Xenopus tropicalis: one gene and its partner. The protein of the gene in region 1 purifies or fractionates together with the protein of each later gene. This does not show direct contact. Links are inferred from orthologs where the notes say so. Each region holds a gene or a part of one and is shown in the gene's direction. Other genes may lie near its edges.

Region 1 (3,831 bases):
CATAAAGGCATCTTGTTATTGAGCAGTTTTCCTTTAACTCAACCCAATCATAAAGCTGTCCCACTACGCCCCCTAGTTCTCTACAGGACTTGTTGAAAAACTTAAACAGTACCTTTGATAGAATTTACCATTGTGCCCCCAATTCACTCATATTATCACAGAGAATGATAACTAATAACAAGATAGCTGCAAATAAAGTAAACATAAAAATCAAAGGAATTATATTAATCTGGCAAACCTGACATACAGGGCTAAATCTTACAACATTTAGATATAGTCCTAAGTATTATAGGCCCATGACAAACATAAAAAATGGCTAATGGGAATTACCCTTGAGTGGGGTCCATTAGCACTGGAAGATGCTCTGGTGGTATAACAGTCTCATCTGAGCCTTGGTACACACATAAATAAACTGTCAGGTATAATGTCAAACCAACTGGCAGATAATGTTGTACTTTGAGTTTTCACACATAATTATAATGTATAATTCAGTGGATCTCTTAAATGTGTTCTGCCTGCTATGGGAGATGGCAGAGTTTAATGCAAAATGTATGTCCCCTTTTACCTAAATAGAAGAACATAAATGCCATAAATATAAAGGCTCATGTGCAACCGCGCGTTACTGCATGACTGCCCCCCCCCCAGGCTGATGTATCAAAGGCTGGCAATCGGTCAAATTAGCCTGTTCATTCAATTAATTTATCACTATTCATAGCCTTCATGGATTCAATGGGGGTCATCTATGAATGCAAATGCAATAAGTAAAGTGCAATGCTGCAAAAAATTAGTTTTTGGATTTTGTTTTTACCCATAGTCAGGCCTGGATTTATGGGAAAAACACACCAAATTGTGTTCACCAAGAATGTGCAACATGTGTTAAAATGGACTAGGTTAAACAACATTGGTTGTATCAAAGCATCTGCATCTGATACACAGGGTGCCCCTATTGATGCAAGCCACTGCAGCAACCCCAAAGCTACTACAAGCTGCAGGGTGGTAACATATGCATTTCAAGGTCCCCAATGAAGGCACAGTTGGGGTTCAAGGACCCACCACCCTGCCACTGCTGCTCTCTACTCTGCCCTCAGCCACCACCACTCTGGCTCTGCTGTTATGGCCAGCAGCAAGTAGGTAGTGGAGCTGGGGCGACTAGCTTGCAGGCAGGTGGCAAAGTGTCGGGACAACAGGACTTTTCCCAGTATCCCAGTGGGCCTATATGACCTTGAGGTCAGACGTGTGCATCTATGCCATTTCCTATGGTGCTGATCACAATTTAAATGATTTTAAACAATTTATCCAGAATTGACCTGATTTAATCAATTTGTTATTTTTGTTAATAAATCATTAGTGAATCTGTACCAAAGACGTCAACTTCCAATAAGGCTCTGTGCTTCTAAGATGTGTGTGCCTGGGGGGCTGGTATGTGGGGTGAGGGGGTGCCCAGGGTTCAGCAGTTCTTTGGGGAATAAAACCTCCTAACCTTCATCTGAGCCGGAATAATCACAGAGATCAATGTGCTTTGACAATAAATATACCAACCGCATTGAGCGCAGAGAACAATAGGCAGCAGGAGGGACTCCTACAGCTGCTACATTTAAGGAAAATAAAATGGAAAATGTATTTGGAAAATAATACTGAAGGAGGCAGAGGGGGCCATACGCAGGAGGAGGTGTTATTTTCACATTATGCACCTTTCCAGCTCAATTTATTTTTAATATCAACTATTTTTTCCCTGCATTTATATTTTGCGCACTTTCTTTCTCACATTGTTATCTGCTGGAAAGCTTTTAGCTGAGGTGTAAGGCTTCATATGTGCCATACTCTAAATATATCCTCTGCCCAACGTCAGATCCTCAGTCCTGGCATCCTCCTGCAATGCAAAACCTTACAGGGACACCAACCCCTACTGCATTGCATGGTTCAACCACACTTGCTGGACTACAAACCCCAAGCTTAAGGGGTGCTGGGAGCTGTAGTCTAGCAATATCCAGGTTGGATCTTTAAAGCTATTTTGCTGAATAAAAGTTTTCCCCAGCTCTTCAGGGCTGGCACCTGCATTAACATGCAAAGTAATACTCCAGTAGGAATCCCAGCTGATCTGCGTAAATCTGTTTCTTTACTCATTGTTCCTACATTTTGAATTGGAAGCATTATGCACAGTTTCCTAGCAAGTCTGTCCTTCCTCCCCATATTTGATTAAAGTGTTCCCAAAATGGCACAATAACCTTTGTATGTAAGAGCAAGATGGCTGACATTTTTGGTCAATTTCGAAAGTTTATAAAGGGTATCAAACTTAGACAATATGAATTTAGGATTTATTAAAGATATTTTTTTGTTATTTCTCCCCCCCCCCCCCAGTAATTACAATATTTAGAGGCAAAGTTGAAGAGGTGGAATTGCCAGTGGATAAGGTGGATATCATTATTACCGAGTGGATGGGCTACTGTTTGTTCTATGAGTCCATGCTTAACACGGTCATCTTTGCACGAGATAAGTGGCTGGTAGGTTCTCTGCATGTTACATAGCTAAAGCCAATAACAATCATTCACCAGCTACATGCATGTTATTTTCATATTGATTTATTTGATGTTAGCCTGTACAGAGAGATACCATAAAACTATGGCAGCTTAGGTATTCCCCTGTACTAATCACAATTCAGCAGGAACAGCCCCCTAAGTTTGCCCATAGCCTCTACAGAGAGATACCATAAAACTATAGCACCATAGGGATTCCCCTGTACTAAGCACAATTCAGCAGGAACAGCCCCCTAAGTTTGCTCATAGCCTGTACAGAGAGATACCATAAAACTATGGCACATAGGGATTCCCCTGTACTAAGCACAATTCAGCAGGAACAGCCCCCTAAGTTTGCTCATAGCCTGTACAGAGAGATACCATAAAACTATGGCACATAGGGATTCCCCTGTACTAAGCACAATTCAGCAGGAACAGCCCCCTAAGTTTGCCCATAGCCTGTACAGAGAGATACCATAAAACTATAACACCATAGGGATTCCCCTGTACTAAGCACAATTCAGTAGGAACAGCCCCCTCAGTTTGCTCATAGCCTGTACACAGAGATACCATAAGACTATGGCAGCATAGGGATTCCCCTGTATTAAGTCAGCAGAAATGTTAAGGTAAGGTGGCCCTTTAAATAAAAAAGGCTATTTTTCAGTCTATACTCCCTCGATCTATCTGGCAAATATAGTCAGAGCATAGAGCATTTTTTTCTCCCTGCTTTCCTTCAACTGACAATGGCTTTGATTTAGACAGACATTTATATCTAGCTGTGTGGCTGCAGGCGGATTTATCCATTCAGATATTAAACTGTGAGTGACAGAATAATGAAAGCATGCAGGGGGTGCTTGTCTGCCATTGATACGTGCAGTTCAAAATGTGATGTCTTTGTCAGGTGAATTGATTACAAGACCAATTTCCCCACAATTCATCAACAGAAACCTGGAGGGCTGATGTTTCCTGACCGAGCTGCCCTATATATCGTTGCAATAGAAGACAGACAATATAAGGACTTCAAGATCCATTGTGAGTATCCTGTCCTTATGGACTGTCATGTTGGTGGGGAACCAATTCCAGACTTTTGGGGAGCATACTGGGGAGATTAAACCATTAAAGCATAAATATTCCCTGTGTCTATCTCTAAGGTCAAGGTCAAATGGGGCATTTTTATGTTATGTATTGACCATCAGTCTGGCTGCATTTTGCTTCTAAATTGCTCTTCTGCTTGGCTTTTTTTTTTTTTTAAATTACTAAAAATTCTTTTGAGATGTCTTCCTCCAAGGCTTTTTTGATACAGAATGTGTACAGAGCA
Region 2 (3,266 bases), on another chromosome or scaffold:
TTCAATTTTTTTTTTCCTCTCTTTAGGGAAGGATCTTAATGGGAACAAGGTGAAAGTGTCATTGGCTCGCAAAAAGTCTTTGCTAGGTAGCATGAGAGGGGGGTCACTTTTACGTGACAACAGAGGACAGCCGCCACCTCTCCGTGGAGGTAGGAAATGATTGCTCCCCTTCTTAAAGAATCATCTTACCTTTTATGTGGTATATTGTATGTAGACTATACCTAATTTGTCAGGACTATGCTATGCACAATTTTACTTATTCAAATTGCAAAACTGTTCTTATTTAGGTCCCATGGGTCGCTTGGGTGGCCGAGGAGGGGAACGTGGGGGATTCATGCCAAGAGGGCCACGTGGGCCAAGAGGTAGTCCAGTTAGCGGTAATGTCCAGCACAGGGCTGGTGACTGGCAGTGCCCCAACCCGTAAGTATAATAGAGAAAATTTACTGTATTTTTCATTAAGGTAATAACAACATTATTTTGCATTGCATTTTGCATCAGTTAATAAAGCTTTTCCAGCAGAATCTGCTGGAGGGCAAACAGTTTTATTTTTAATTTTGAAATTTACTATGGCTAGCCATATTATTTTCCCAGGGTGCTACAGCCATGTGTCCTGTGCTCTGACAAACTTTGCACTTCACTGCTGAGCTGTAAGTTTGAGTAATCACACCCCCCCTCCCTTTTGCCCCCAGCAGCCGATCAGCAGAACAATGGGAACGGGGCAAGATCCCAGTAGATATCCGAATAGCACTCAATAGTAAGGAATCCAAGTCCTGCTTGGGACTCATTCAGTTACATAGGAATAGGAGAAACGATAGACCTATCTGAAAGCAGTTCTTATGTGTAGCGCTAGCTCTTTCTGGACTTGACACAATGCACTGAGATGGCTGCCTACACACCAATATTACAACACAACTAAAAATAAAAATTTGGTTCAAGAATACAGTTTTAAATGGTAGTGAATTATTTGCTGTGTAAACAGTGTAATTTAGAAATGAGAAGTACACCATAAAAATCATGACAGAAATGTGTCTAATTCAGTTTCTCTTTATTTTTAGCGGATGTGGAAACCAGAATTTTGCTTGGAGAACAGAATGCAACCAGTGCAAGGCTCCAAAGCCTGATGGCCCTTTCCCTCCTTTCCCACCCCAAGGTAAGGTTGGTTATAATGTTCCTTTTTGATATTGTGATAACATGATTTTTTCCCCATGGGAGTAATATTAAGTAAATCTCAAGTCTCGGACCGCCTGCTTTCTAGTTTGTCTAATGTTAGATAATGTTTTCCTGTCATGTTTCCTCTGGAAACATTTTGTTTTGGGCTAAAAAGATCACTTATTTCAGATGGAGTTTCCGGCTAGTTTTGGTTGTTAGGGCTATGGCACAGAGTTACTTGTAGCCAGCAACTTGGTGAGGCTGCAAAACGCCAGAAAATACCCTGCCCAAGACAATACAGAGAATTGTCTCTGCTAGAACGGTAATTTTGTAGCTTTGTGTCATTGCCCTAAAAGTTACAGGGTAAGTGCATACACAATAAATATGTAGTGTTCCAGGTATCTGTAATATATTGGTTATTCAGATTTTTTAAATCCTTCTTGCTAGTAACAAATAATAAGGGGCTATTCTGTTTTGCACCACCCTTAATTACATATCTAACTGAATTGCTACAATTGCAGGAGGAGAACGTGGAAGAGGTGGTCCAGGCATGAGAGGAGGCAGAGGCCTAATGGACCGTGGTGTGCCTGGTATGTTTAGAGGTGGTCGTGGAGGAGATAGAGGAGGCTTCAGAGGGCGTGGTATGGACAGAGGATTTGGAGGAGGAAGGAGAGGAGGACCTCCAGGTCCCCCTGGTCCACTCATGGAACAGCTTGGTGGAAGAATTGGTGGTGGAAGACGAGGTGGCCCCAGCAAAATGGATAAGTATGTTTTGTTGGGGGTTTTTTTGTATCTTATAATAACTGCATAACATGCACCCTGTAATATCCTACAAGCAACCTACTAAATGCAAACTTTTTTTTTTCCCCCCAGGAGTGAGCATCGCCAGGAACGAAGAGAGAGACCCTACTAGTTTCGGAGCCACCTTTACTACCAGATTTATTTTTTAAACCAGAAATGTTTTAAATTTATAATTCCATATTTATAATGCTGACATGAAGATCCTCCCTTCACTGTCACATTATGATTATTCTTTGTCTGTAACTTTAGTATTCACAATTTGTGGAGATATTAAAATGGAAATTTAATGGTAGTATTGCTGTCTTTTTGTTTTGCTTTTGTTTTTTTTACCTTCCTTTTGAGAGCAAACATAATTTTTAGCTTCTTTGCATGTGAAGGTTGATGGTTTTGAAGTCTTTGAATGAAAGCATGTGCATTATCTTGACAGAATCTATGGCTAGAGAAGATAGACCATACAAAACTGTTTTTATTTTTAGCAGGTGAATCTGTTTGGCCCCTGTCTTGGATCTTCAAATGGCTAATAATACCCTCTTATGCGACTGTGGATTTGTGTTTAACTTTTGTTTGTTTTTTGGGGAGGGGTGGGCTTGCTATTGGTGAGTATATTATTTTGTGGCCATTCTGTAAAAAATGGGGATTTATTTTATTTTTGTTTTAATATACTGGCTTGTGTTAATTTGTTGGACCCCACCCCATAATACTGTAATAAAATCTTGTTGAACCACTATTTTACAAATTGGAACTCCTCAATAAATGTAATTTTTAAATGGGTGGTTTTCATTATGGAAAACAGTTCTCTTCTCATCCATTGGCTAAAAAGTTTCCTACCATAAAGACCTAAAATATTAATTTGTCAATTTTGTAGTTATTTTTTTGTAATATTGATGCAAATCGCCAGTCAGTATGCAGTGCTGACATGAAACTGAGAAGCTGCTTTTACTGGTATAGTGCCCATTATCTGGAAACCAGTAACCCATACATTTACAGGAAGGCTATCTCCAATAGACTTGGTTATAATAAAATAGAAAAATTATTTCCCTTTTCTCTAATAATGAAACAGTACCTTGTACTTGATACCAACTAATATATAATCCTTATTAGAGGCAAAACAGTCCTATAGGGTTTAATGCTTAAATTATTTTTTAGTAAATTTAAGGTATGGAGATCCAAATTATGCAAAGACCCCATATCTGGGAAAACCCCAAGCACTAAGCATCTGGATAACAGGTCCCATACCTGTATTTAAAACACTTGGCACAAGCCAGATTCCAAAGGTGCAAGGAATATAAGGAGCATGAACTAAATAAACCAGGCCT

Evidence for each region.
Region 2: the proteins of prmt8 (region 1) and ewsr1 purify together in Homo sapiens (affinity purification with mass spectrometry; 3 studies listed by BioGRID and IntAct, counting the BioPlex papers as one, with this or other methods). This does not show direct contact. The link is inferred for Xenopus tropicalis from reciprocal best matches to the Homo sapiens genes PRMT8 and EWSR1.

Annotation. Positions count from the first base shown.
Region 1 is NC_030679.2:14,584,258-14,588,088, reverse strand, and holds part of prmt8 (protein arginine N-methyltransferase 8), read left to right. Parts: intron 1-2,358; coding exon 2,359-2,501; intron 2,502-3,457; coding exon 3,458-3,545; intron 3,546-3,831. UniProt on the Homo sapiens protein: S-adenosyl-L-methionine-dependent and membrane-associated arginine methyltransferase that can both catalyze the formation of omega-N monomethylarginine (MMA) and asymmetrical dimethylarginine (aDMA) in proteins such as NIFK, myelin basic protein, histone H4, H2A and H2A/H2B dimer.
Region 2 is NC_030677.2:144,939,663-144,942,928, reverse strand, and holds the end of ewsr1 (RNA-binding protein EWS), read left to right. Parts: intron 1-26; coding exon 27-149; intron 150-287; coding exon 288-420; intron 421-1,055; coding exon 1,056-1,150; intron 1,151-1,670; coding exon 1,671-1,914; intron 1,915-2,022; coding exon 2,023-2,062; 3' UTR 2,063-2,675; downstream 2,676-3,266. UniProt on the Homo sapiens protein: Binds to ssRNA containing the consensus sequence 5'-AGGUAA-3'. Might normally function as a transcriptional repressor. EWS-fusion-proteins (EFPS) may play a role in the tumorigenic process.